3 linked regions of the Cricetulus griseus genome follow. The protein of the gene in region 3 purifies or fractionates together with the protein of the main gene of each other region. This does not show direct contact. Links are inferred from orthologs where the notes say so. Each region holds a gene or a part of one and is shown on either strand. Other genes may lie near its edges.

Region 1 (4,294 bases), on a different chromosome or scaffold from region 3:
ACACAGCTCCAAGAGATACTGTGCACTCTTTCAGTCTCAGAGGGCACTGAAGTCACCTGCTCAAACCCACCAGACATGGCCGGCGTTGGTGGCGCACGCCTTTAATCCCAGCACTCGGGAGGTGGAGGCAGGCAGATCTCTGTGAGTTCGAGGCCAGCCTGGTCTACAGAGGGAGTGCCAGGACAGGCCCCGAAGCTACATAGAGAAACCCTGTCTCGAAAAACAAAAACACCAGACACATATACATGGTTAAATCAGTTTTTGTTTTTCCAGATATGGTTTCTTTGTCCTTTCCAGTCCTGGCTGTTCTGGAACTTGCTCTGTAGATCAGGCAGCCTTGAACTGCCTGCCTGCCTCTGCCTCCTAAGCGCTGGAATTAAAGGCGTGCACCGCTATGCCTGGCAAACTAAGATACATTTTTTTCTTTTTCTTTAGTACAGCTCTGTGCTTGCCAAGTATGCACGCATTCCTGGCTTCCAATCTTAACACCCCATAACCGCGATGCACACCTGTCATCGCAGCACTCAAGCTACAAGATCACCCCAACTATACAGGGAGTTAGAGGTCAGCTTGAGCTTCCTGAGACCCCATCTCCAAAAAGCAGAAGTAAATAACAAAATATGGCTGGGCGGTGGTGGCGCACGCCTTTAATCCCAGCCCTCGGGAGGCAGAGGCAGGCGCATCTCTTTGAGTTCCAGGTCCGTCAAGGCTACACAGGGAAGCCCTGTGTAGAAAAACCAAACAAGAAACAAAACAAGAAAAATTGGCTCTCCTCCCCTGTCAGCACGGTCTGCACGGTCGCTTCAGAAGCCGACGTCGTTGCTCACTTCCGTCTGTGGCTGATATTGGGGAGCCGGGCGCCCCCAGTTCAAAATTCTTACCCAACAGACACGGGTCGGAACGGGGGCCCCGAGCCGGGATCGTGTGCTTCGCCAGGTCCGGAGAGGCCCGGGAACACCCGGGCGAGAGTCTCGCAAGGACGCAAGAGCACAAACTCCAGCCGGCGCCGCTCCACACGCTCCGCCGCGTCGCGGGCCGGCGACCCAGCCTGCGCCTGCGCCAGGAAGCTCCCACGCATGCGCCTCGCCAGCCCTCCCGCGCGTGACTCCTCACGCAGCCTCTTCCCGCCCTCCTCCAGTCCTCACTTCCGGGGTTTCCTAGCGACGGCCGTAAATGGCGCGCCGAAGCGGCCCTCGAGGTCGTCGTAAACGGCTCCCTTCGCGCCACTTCCGGCCGGCTTCTGCGGCCGGTGCTGGTGGGCGATCGTGAGGCTCCGGAGGACGTTCCCAGCGGCTGCAGCCATGGAGATGCCGCTGCCGCCAGACGGTGAGGCCCGAACCTGAGCGGAGGTCGTTGGGTTCTCCCCGCGGGCCCCCGGCGGCCGGCCGTGCCTCTTCGAGTTCCCGGGTCAGAGACGAAGCGCGCTGCGGCCTCGCCGCTCCTCCCGCGGCCTCCCCCGTGGGTCCCGCATTCCAGCGCGCGCGCTTGGCCCCATTCGGGACCCGTACACCGCCGCCTCGCCGCGGCCCGCCCGCCCCAGAGGACCCCGGCCCGGTCCCCGGGTTCGGGCTGCTCCCACTGACGCCTTTTCCTCCGTCCTGCAGACCAGGAGCTTCGAAATGTCATCGACAAGCTCGCTCAGTTCGTGGCGCGCAACGGGCCCGAGTTCGAGAAAATGACGATGGAGAAGCAGAAAGACAACCCGAAATTCTCGTTTCTGTTCGGAGGCGAGTTCTACAGTTACTACAAGTGCAAGCTGGCTCTGGAGCAGCAGCAGCGTGAGTCCCCCCGCCCCGCCGCAGCCGCCTCCTTTGGGGTCGCTTGTCGGGTCCTCTGCGAAGCCGGTCGGTGGTGTTTCCGCTGTTGTTTCTGTCATTCCCGGGGCCCTGCAACCGAGATAGAGTCTGTGTGTCATAAAGGAGTCATAGAAGGGTCATAGATTCAGTTCCCGGGCGCCGGGTCGAGAGTTCCTGGATTGTCTTTGCAGAGGGGACGACGGTTTCTGCAGGAAGGCGGGAAGCAGAGGCTTGCTTGTACCTTCCTTGGGCAGGAACTGTGTAGCCCGTTCTGCAGGCTGAGGCCAGAGGTTTCTGTGCTTTTCAGATACATAGATCAAGAAGTTTTTTCTTTAGTTTTTTTTTTTTCTCTCTCTCTCTTTTTTTAATGGTTTTGACACAGAGTTTCTCTGACTGTCCCGGAGCTAGTTTGTATACTAGGCCGCCCTTAAACTCAGAGATCTGCCTGCCTCTTCCTTTCAAGTGCTGGAATTAAAGATGTGCACCACTCCTCTGGACCTAACTGTATCTTAAATGCCCAACTAGGTGATCATCAAGAAAAGCCTGATTTTAAAAAATAGTAAAAATAAAAGTTTTAGAGCCAAGTGTGGTGGGTCAGCCCCTTAATCCCAGTACTCAGAAGGCACAGGCAGGTGAATCTCTGAGTTTAAGGCTAGCCTGGTCTACATATCGAATTACAGTACAGGCTGGGGAATGTAGACCCTGTCTTAAAAAACTGGAAAAAAGAAAATAAAGAGTTAAGAAGCACAGCTGGTCTTTGAAGGTCTGACACTGTAGCCCAAGTTGATCTGGCATCAAGTTACCCAGGCTGGCTTCCAGCTCAAAGTAAACCAGCTTTTCAGGTGGTGGGATTACAAGGGTAAGGCAGCATACCCCAGTTTTGAATGATAATGTGTCAGCAGATGGTATGGGTCCTGAGGGCAGGACTCACATTTGTCATACCCTGGGTAGCTCTCTGGCCTCTGAATGGGCTGTTGAAATGAGTGCCTGCCCTTGGAAAGCCATGGATATTCAGAGGTCATAGCTGCTGAGCCACAGTCCTCTGCTGCCAAATACTTTCTTTGTTGTGCTCTAGCAGTGTGTTGTGGATGATTGGTAGAAAGCTATTAGGACAGTTAGACTTGAGCCCATGGAGCACAGAGGCATGAGTAAGCCATGTGTTCAGAGAGGAGCCACCGATGGCCGTGTGAACTTGGGGGGGGGGGCGTTAATATGGAGAGTTTTGATATACCAAGGTGGGCTGGAGTCTGTCAGTCATAAGGTTTTGTTTCCTGTTTAGTTTTGAGAGAGGTCAGCTGTTTGATGTCACCAGCAGGGTGTCTCTGATCATTCCTTAGCCCCAGAGCACCAAGTTCATAACCCTAAGGCAGCAGAGAGCCACAAGTGGGTTGAAACAGGTTCCAACACAACAGGCTGGAGTTGGGAAGGTGTTCAGCATGGATGGGTGTGGGGACAGGTAGACTGACCCCCTGGGGGATGGGTGAGGGGTGGCAAAGTGGGAGGAAGCTTTGACAATGCCTTGGAGTGAATATCCCTAAGAGCTACACAGGAAGTCCCTACCCACCCTTCCCACCTGGACCGGCACTTGTTGAGGCCATAGGCTTAGTGCTATAGCAAAGAAAGGAAAGTGTGTAGGAACCATGGCAGATTGGGGGCTGGGGACAGGAAGACAAATCCGAGAGCCATACCATAGTATGATATACTGAACATGACAGGGGCAGCCAGGGGCAAACTGGAGAGAGTCTTGGGCAAGTTGGGGGGAGGGGGAGACAGGCTGAGGGCAGTGGACAGTGGAAGTCCAGAAGAGGGTTTGGGTTTGGTCACAAGGGAGAGAGACATGGAGTAGGGAGGATCTGCTTGCTGAGGAGCTATGAGCATCACCTGAAGTTAGGCTCAGAAGGGGCTGCAAGCCTACTCAGTATTTTATCACTAAACCTTGGGCTGGTCTGGAATGATACTTTGCAAGCTCTATGGTAAAGGACTGGTGTTCAGTTTGCTTCTTAAAACTTTTTTTTTCCTTTGTTTTTTGAGACAGGGTTTCTCTGTGGCTTTGGAGCCTATCCTGGAACTAGCTCTTGTAGACCAGGCTGGTCTCTAACTCACAGAGAATCTGCCTGCCTCTGCCTCCCGAGTGCTGGGACTAAAGGTGTGTGCCACCACCGCCATGACCTTATATTTGTAAAGTACAATAAAAAAATAATGTGAGCTGTGGGGTGTTGCCTATCCCATAGATTATCACTCAAGGCAGGGCTGCTCCACAGGCTGCTGTCTGCTATGTGCAGAGGGGCCACTCTGCTGCAGGACATAGCTCTTTACTAGGTGTGATGCAGACACAGGCAGAGGTATGGCTAACACTGCTGCTGATTAGCGTGAGGGTTACATACACCCTGATCTGGATGCACCGCTGTACCAGGCTAGAGTATAGGAGCAAGACCCAGACTTAGACTGGGAGGAGGTGCCGTGAGCAAAGGCCCAGGCCATCATTGGCTCCTCCAAAG
Region 2 (4,294 bases), about 97 Mb from region 3:
GTAATTTTAAAAAAAGATTTAAAGAATGCTTTTCTGCTTTTGCAGAGGACTGGAGTTCAGCCTGTAATACACATGTCCACAGGATTACAACAGCTAGTTCCAGGGAATCTCAGGCCATAAGCCTCCCCTGGCACCCACAAACAAGTGGCATATACACTAATTAATAAGCTAAGATAAAAAATAAGCGCACTAATTCGTAGAATTGGGTTCCTGGCCGTCTTTGGGGACAGAGGCCAAGGCTCTGCAGGTGTGTGTGTTCACTCTGTTGGCATTCATCAAATGTCAGGTTTCTGATGTGTGTACGCCCCTGCTCTTCATATGAATTTTGTTGCTGTTGTTGGTTTTTTTCAAGCCGGGTTTTCTCTGCATAGCCCTGGAACTCGCTCTGTAGATCAGAATGACCTGGTCTCATCTCACAGATCTGGCCTCCCAAATGCTGGGATTAAAGGCGTTCCCCGCCACGCCCAGTTTACAATATGAATATCATTTAAGCTTTATTTTATTTTTATGTTTGCGATTGCCGGTGTCCGAGGAGGTTAGAAATGGGCGACGAATCCCTGGGGCTGTAGTTACAAGCAGTTGTGAGGTGCACAACTGGGTACTGAAATGAGACTCCTTTTGCAAAAGTCTTTTGCAAAAGCAGCAAGTGCCCCTAACCTCTATGCCATCTCTCTGGCTAGCCCCTCGACATCAATACTTAAATGTCTAGACGCCGCAAGTCCACCCTGAGGCTTTAAGGTGACCATACTAGCTCGGATGTTGCCCATCTTAAGGCAGTCCAGCCGAATGGCCCAGCCTTGTCTCTGCTGGACCGCAAATCTTAGAAACCTGAATCCCTGAAGCTTTGGCGGAGTGTCCGCCCCCTGTTGGACAATCCCAAATACCCCAGCCTCGAGGTTCACTGAAGTGAGAGTGCCTCTCTCGTGTTCTTATCTTTTGGACACAAATATCTGGAATCTGGGCTCGCCACACTCCAGGAACGCACCAGCCAAGAAGAACCAAGAAGCAAAGACGACGATCGCAACGCCCGGCGGTGCCTTCGATCGATTGCTTTAGCCTGGTGGTCGAGGTGAGCGCCGCTCCGATTGGTTTTGTCTGGCAGCGCGGCGCGGTGCACCCTGGGACACGGCACTGGCGGGAGGCGCAGGCCGGTGGCCGAGGTGAGGGGACTCGGCGGCGGCAGGATGGTGAAGCTGACGGCGGAGCTGATCGAGCAGGCGGCGCAGTACACCAATGCTGTGCGGGACCGCGAGCTGGATCTTCGCGGTGAGTTAGGGGGATCGCGGGCTGTGTCCGGGCTCGGCGCGAGGCCGGGAGGAGCGGGCCCCGCCGCGTGCGCGGAGGCCGGAGCCTGGCCCGGGGGCCTCCCGCCCGGGTTTAGGGTACCTCCTCCGATCGCCGGTCCCTCAGGACCCTTTGGAGCCGTCTGTTACCCGCTCCCGCTAACAGACACGGCTTCTCCGTTCCTTCCCGGGTCCGTATTCGTTAGGCTTTGCCCGGCATGCTCAGCAGCCTGAACTGTTTGAGGGCCAGGAAAATAGAAAATGGTATCTTCCGGACCGCGACCGGCTGGTTTTTAGCAAATGCGTTAATATGACACGTGAGGGTAGATTAGATATAAGTCAAAGTTATCTTAATTATACAATAATTCCATTTTGGGTCTGCTCATTTGTTTTTTGAGACAGGGTCTCCTGTACTCAGAGCTGGCTTCAAACCGCTGTGTAGTTAGGGACGTTCTCGAACTTCCGGCCCTCTTGCCTCCACTTCCCGGCGCTGGGTTTAAACGTGTGCCCCATGTTTATATGGTGCTGCGGATGAACCCAGGATTTTGTTCTTGATAAACAAGCACTCGCCCCACAGAACCAGGTCCCCAGCCCCTGATAATTCACTTTTATAAGAAGGTGTTTTCTAGCTTGATCTGTTTGACCAAGGCTTATAGTCATCACTCCCATGTGAGGGGTGGTGAACACTAACCTGTTGAGTAGAGCTTGGTTTAAAAAAACAAAAACAAAACACAGCATTAGCTGGGCAGCGGTGGCACACGCCCGGCACTCGGAAGGCAGTGGCAGGCGGATCTCTGAGTTCGAGGCCAGCCTAGTCTCCTGTGTCGAATAAAACAAGAAAATGACAATAATAACAAAATATAGCATTGAAAGTGCAGTTATCTACTTTTCAGGAGATGGCTTTGAAAGGGGTTAGGATTATATAACTGTGTCATGAGGCAACCACAGTCTCGGGGACTATACTCTGCCATTTGCTAAAATGCCTTGCTGACCTATAGAAAATCCTAGTGCTTTTGTTAGACATTAGCTTTCTCAGACAAAAGTCCATTTCAGAGGTATCTGAACCCTTTTACTGTCTTGGCACACAGTTTTGGTCTCTGCTGCATCTCTGAAGACCATGCAGTCTTGATAAAGCTTATTTTATTGCGCTCTTTCACAACTGAGTGAAAGTTGTGTACTAAGTTTCTCTTCTTCCTTTGGCACCTAGCTCGATGGTTATGCCCATTAGACAATCAAGGGGATGTTCACAGTGTGGTTTGTGGTTGTATAGACACCATTTTCAGCTCTGAATTGGAGCTGGTGGAGAAGAGAGTGAGTCAGGATAGCATGAGGATATACTGCTGAGTTATGTGAATGGTTTAGAAGGCTGGTCACCAGTGTCCCAGCAAGACTTGAGCATTAACAGTAAGCAGTGTTAACTTGACATAGAGCCTGACACTCTTAAGAACTTTGAACAGTGTAAATACCTTGTAGATGTTCTCATAAACAGTGGACACCAATATTACTAAGTATACGCCTGTGTTCTTGTTCTTGCCTTCAACCTCCTCTTCAAGTTTACTGCATGACCACACGCTTCGAGGCAGTAAGGACCCTGTAACTCATTTGTCACTTATCTTCAGTATTTTTGTACAGAGTGTGACATGGCACCCGTGCCGGTTTAATACTTCTTGAATGAGTACTTTGAGTCTAATTACAATCAGATGCTCCTACTGTTTTCAGGACCTTTCATTTATATTAATATTTGCTGTATGTATTTTTCCCCTCTACAGGATATAAAATCCCTGTCATTGAAAATTTAGGTGCTACCTTAGACCAGTTTGATGCTATTGATTTTTCTGATAATGAGATCAGGAAACTGGATGGTTTTCCTTTATTGAGAAGACTGAAAACATTATTAGTGAACAACAACAGAATTTGGTGAGTGTCTGCTAGTGAGAATACTTTTCTACCTTGAAAAGATGTTACAATGTACCCTGAAGAAAGACATGATTTGTTTTTAGTTTTCATTTTATGTATATTAGTGTTTGGCCTGCAAGTGTGTCTGCACTATCTGTATACCATTGTGGTGCCTTTGGAGGCCAGAAGAGGGTGTGAGTTCCCTGGAGCTGGAATTACAGACAGTTGTGAGCTCTCATGTGGGTACTAGGAATAGAATCTGGGTCCTCCGGAAGAGCAGCCAGTGCTCCAGCCTCTCCATGTCTCTTCTTAAAGGGAGGAATGAATCGAGCACTTTTTCTAAGAGATTGGGAGACTAACGTGGGCATTGGTCTGACCTTACTTGCTATCTTCAGAGATCTTTAGTATTCGTAGTTGATACTAAACTTTGAATTTAAATTTAAAACATGTTGCTCTGTATACATTTCAGATTCTAGAGCAATTACCAACAGCATCATAATAAAAATGATTTATAAAAGTCAGGTGTAGTGGTGCCCACCTTTAATCCTAACAGTTGGAAGGCTGAGGCAGTCCAGCCTTGTCTCCACAGCAAGTTACAACTGATGCTACAGAGTGAGACCCTGTCTCAATAACATCCTTTTTGTTTGTTTGTTTTTCAAGACAGGTTTTTCTCTGTGTAACTTTGGAGCCTGTCTTGGAACTCACTTGGTAGACCAGGCTGGCCTTGAACTCACAGAGATCCTCCTCCCTCTCCTTGCCAAGTGCTGGAATTGAATATGTGCACTACCACCTGGCTGTTTATCAGCTTCATATAAAAATTGAATTAATATAGTTATTAAGGAAGGTTTCTCGTACCTGGTACTGGTGTTTCTGTTAGGGTCAGTGCCTCTTGTGGGAATTATTGTCAGGGGACCGGAATTGCTGAAGACATAGCTTTTATTAAGGAAAGTTTCTAGGGGCTGGAGTCATGGCTCAGTGGTTAAGCCTACTGGCGGCTCCTTTTCCAGTTCAGATGAAGTGGGTTCTTCTCCTTCCCAGACCAGTGTGGCAGTTCACAATTCTAGTTCCAGGGAATTCAAGGCCCTTTTCTGGCTTCTACAGGCACCAAGCACACA
Region 3 (4,194 bases):
GTAACCCTGGCTGTCCTGGAACTCAGGGATCTACTTCTGCTTCCCAAGTGCTGGGATTAAAGGTGTGAGCCACCACACCCAGCTATATATTTTATTGTCAGCTATTAGCAAATATCTTGAGATTTTAGCAATATCTTGAGCAAATAGATTTTAATAGATCAAGGTGGAATATTACTTTAATATGTTGTTTCTTTTGGGCTCCTCAGTGAGTTTCTCATAGTACTAATCAAACTTGTAAAAATATTTGGTAGAGAAAAATTTTACTTGTATCTAAAAGATGAAGCTATGGTTTCATTTGTATTTCATTTTTGGAAATACCTGTTAAATTTAAAATAAGCAAATAAATGATTATCATAACCCCTGTTATGCAAACTTTGGGGTTTATGTTGTGATTTTGCATTTGTATGACATGTTGTTTGCTTAAAGCACTGTTAAAGCTTAGACTCCCTAATAAGAATGAAAGTTTGTACCACAACTTTTCGTGATCACCATCATTCCATTTGACCAACCATGGCATCTTAGCAACCTGAGAACTTGATGTAGTTCACCAGCTCACTGTGAGACATTCTTGCCTACAAGCTTTACCCTGAGTCTAACCAGCTTCTAGAAATGCCAGACACAGAGTTAGCTGTGTTATTGTAAGTTAGCTAGAGGATCTAGAATAAGCATTCATAAGAACGATATCCCAGGGGAAAAACAAAGATGGTAATGGTGATAGGTAAGAGGGGCTGCTAAAGATTGAGACACGGATCAAAAGTACATTTTAAACTTTGTTTAAAAAAAACAAAACAAAGACTAGCTGTTTAACATGCACTTTGAGGATGGTGAGATGGCTCAGTGAGTCCAGCCTGATGACCAGAGTTTAAGTAGAACCCTATGGTACAAGGACAGACTTGTCCCTCCAGTCCCTCTGACCTCCATATAGTCACTGTGGTATTTGCATGTAAACACACATGCATACACACCCAAGTAAGTATATAAGTAATTTTAATTGGTTGAGTAAGGTTATACTAAAAGAAGTAGAGTAGAAGCTTGCCTTGGAAGGCAGAGAGGTGGATCCCTGCAAGTTTAAGGCTATTCAGAAGGTGGTCACATTTACTGTAAACTTTATAGAAAAGTGGAGGAAATCTGCTTTTAAAATGACCAAAAAGAATGGAGATATAACTCACTTGGTAGCATGTTTGCCCAGTTTTCAGTAAGTCCTGTGTTAAATCCCCAGCACTGTATAAACTGGGTCTGGTGATATATACCAGCACTCAGCAATGTGGAGGGAGGTGGATCAGGAGTCCAAGTTCATCACCAGCTATGTGGGGCACTGGAGGCCAGCCTGGGTTACTTAGGACCCTTCCTCAGAAAGCACTTAAGGACACTATACTAAAGACTGTTACTGTTTAAAATGATGGTTTTATCACAGGCAGAGGCTGGTTATAGAGAGTAGAAAAAGTGTCTGTGTTGCAAGTAGCATGAATTTTAATTTGGAACATTGGTATGTTTTTCTTGTTTCTGATGTCAGAGTCAGCGGACAAAACAAAGTACAGTCCTTGCCCCAGTCATCGACCTAAAGCGAGGAGGCTCCTCAGATGACCGGCAGATTGTAGACACACCACCTCATGTAGCAGCTGGGCTGAAGGTAAGCCTGCACATGCACATATCTGTGGCTTTAATGCATTTCCTGTTTGCTTTACACATATTTTCCTCTATTTTTTAAGATTGACTTTTTTTTTTTATCTGTGTGTGTGGTATGTGTGTGTCAGTGTCTGTGTATCTCTGTGTGTGTGTGTGTGTGTGTGTGTACCCTTGGAGGCCAGAAGGGGACATTAGATCTCTTGGGGCTGGAGTTAGGCCCAGTAAACACTCTGGTGTGGGTGCTGAGAACCAAATTCTGGTCCTCTGATAGAGAATAAGCACTCCTAACCACTGAGCCATCTCCAGCCCCACACAAGAGTCTCCCCAATAGGCCGTTGAAAGAGAGTTTCATTTCCAGCTCAGGTTTTACTTTGCTACCATCAAAACCTTTATTCCTTAAAATAGTTGATTTTGAAAACAACAGGTGTGAAAGATGGGCAAAAAAGAAAAGCAGGTATCTTCTTAATCATACTCTCCAGGCTTTAAAAGTTACATAATTTTAAGCCGGGTGTTGGTGACACATGCCTTTAATTCCAGCACCTTTAATCCCAGCACTCGGGAGGCAGAGGCGGGCAGATCTCTGTGAGTTCGAGGCCAGCCTGGTCTCCAGAGCAAGTGCCGGGATAGGCTCCAAAGCTACACAGAGAAACCCTGTCTCGAAAAAAAAAAAAAAAAAAAAAAAAAAAGTTACATAATTTTAGAATATCTTTCTTGGATGAGTTCTACCTTTTGTTCTCTAATTTCCTTTTCTTAATATATCAGTGAGTGTCCATCTTTGCCAAAAATACAGAACAATGTGGTTATTTAGAAATACTTGTATATGTATGAGGTTTTTGCCTGCACTACATGTGTACCTGTTGCCTGTGGGGGCACATTCCCTAGGACTGGAATTACAGACAGTTGTGAAAACCATGTGGGTGATGGGAATCAAACTTAGGTTCTCTGAAAGAGCAGGCAGTGCAGTCATAGCAATCAAGCCTGGTCTACAGAGCGAGTTTCAGGATAGCCAAGGCTACACAAAGAAAGCCTGTCTTGAAAAACAAAACAAAACAAAAACTTGAACATGGTGCTGCATGTCTTTAACAGGACAGGGCTCCAGAGAGGCAGGGGGATTGGGAGTTGTCCAGGCTCACCTTTGGCTCTGTGCCTAGTTTGTGGCTCTGTGAGACACTGTCTGGAAAATGATAATCCACTTTTACATGTATTTTCCTGCAGGTGTCATTCGAATGATGACTGTGGTAGTTTAAAACTCACTTAAACAATGATTAAGTTCATGAATTGTTTCAGTTTTAAGTTCTACAGTGCTTTTCTAGGAATAATTAAGCTTTTGCTTGATTGCCACAATATGCTGCCACCTGGTGAGATGTAGTTTGCTATGAATTGTTTACTCATCTAGGAAATATAAGATCCTTAGATGATCACGAAGGTCTCTTTCATCATCCTTTGACCTTGATTCTATGATAACCCTGCAGAATATGAAGATGGTACTCACTTGAATATTTTTCTTCCTCAGGACCCTGTTCCCAGTGGGTTTTCTGCAGGGGAAGTTCTGATCCCCTTAGCTGATGAATATGATCCTATGTTTCCTAATGATTATGAGAAAGTAGTGAAGCGCCAGAGAGAGGAGCGACAGAGGCAGCGGGAGCTGGAAAGACAGAAGGAAATAGAAGAAAGAGAAAAGTAAGTGTCGTCTTGATTTGGGAACAGATATCTTGTTAATGTACATTAGAATGTGAATGAATTTCTGTGTTGTCTCTAGGGGTGGGTTTATGGTTTCAATCTTCAGGAGTTTACTTGTTTGGTTTTTTTTTTTTTTAATGTATTTAGCCTACAAGTAAAGGTTACTTACTTCACACCTCCCTATTTTTTTTTAAGATTTTATTTATTTATTATGTATACAACATTCTGCTTCCATGTATATCTGCACACCAGAAGAAGGCACCAGATCTCATAACGGATGGTTGTGAGCCACCATATGGTTGCTGGGAATTGAACTCAGGACCTCTGGAAGAGCAGTCAGTGCTCTTAACATCTGAGCCATCTCTCCATCCCCGAGTTTACTTGTTTTTAAGAATTTGTAATTGTTCTGTCCCATTGTCCCCAAATAAACTTGAGAAAGTTTATTTATTTATGGGCTCTAAAAAACCTAAAGTGTAGACTTTGCATGAATTAGAAAAGTAACTTAGAAAACCCACTGGTAGCCAGGTGTGGTGGTACATGACTGTAATCCACCTACATAGTTTAAGACTAGCCAGGGCTACATGAGACTATCTGAAAACCAAAACACAATAGAAACCCATGTTGAAATTGTTAGCAGGGTTGTGACTGCCAGAATCACAACTACTTACAGTGTTTCAGTGTTATTCCTTTATTTTGGGGATTGGATTTTGGTTTTTCTAGATGGGGCTTGTCTGTGTAGCCCTCGCTGTCTTGGAACTCACTACGTATACCAGGCTGTCTTTGAGCTCAATGAGATCTGCCTGCCTGTGCCTCCTGAGTGCTGGCATTAGAGATGTGCCACCATACCTAGCGTCTTAAAATTTTTAGTTTTGTTAATTAATATGAATT

Evidence for each region.
Region 1: the proteins of Rbm17 (region 3) and Cherp purify together in Homo sapiens (co-immunoprecipitation; 4 studies listed by BioGRID and IntAct, counting the BioPlex papers as one, with this or other methods). This does not show direct contact. The link is inferred for Cricetulus griseus from reciprocal best matches to the Homo sapiens genes RBM17 and CHERP.
Region 2: the proteins of Rbm17 (region 3) and Snrpa1 purify together in Homo sapiens (affinity purification with mass spectrometry; 5 studies listed by BioGRID and IntAct, with this or other methods). This does not show direct contact. The link is inferred for Cricetulus griseus from reciprocal best matches to the Homo sapiens genes RBM17 and SNRPA1.

What each region holds. Positions count from the first base shown.
Region 1 is NW_023276806.1:247,223,846-247,228,139, reverse strand, and holds the start of Cherp (calcium homeostasis endoplasmic reticulum protein), read left to right. Parts: upstream 1-1,184; 5' UTR 1,185-1,301; coding exon 1,302-1,326; exon of another isoform or gene 1,327-1,407; intron 1,408-1,604; coding exon 1,605-1,778; intron 1,779-4,294. UniProt on the Homo sapiens protein: Involved in calcium homeostasis, growth and proliferation.
Region 2 is NC_048596.1:131,213,485-131,217,778, reverse strand, and holds the start of Snrpa1 (U2 small nuclear ribonucleoprotein A'), read left to right. Parts: upstream 1-1,107; 5' UTR 1,108-1,184; coding exon 1,185-1,266; intron 1,267-3,052; coding exon 3,053-3,200; intron 3,201-4,294. UniProt on the Homo sapiens protein: Involved in pre-mRNA splicing as component of the spliceosome. Associated with sn-RNP U2, where it contributes to the binding of stem loop IV of U2 snRNA.
Region 3 is NC_048596.1:228,368,367-228,372,560, reverse strand, and holds part of Rbm17 (splicing factor 45), read left to right. Parts: intron 1-1,513; coding exon 1,514-1,630; intron 1,631-3,139; coding exon 3,140-3,306; intron 3,307-4,194. UniProt on the Homo sapiens protein: Splice factor that binds to the single-stranded 3'AG at the exon/intron border and promotes its utilization in the second catalytic step. Involved in the regulation of alternative splicing and the utilization of cryptic splice sites.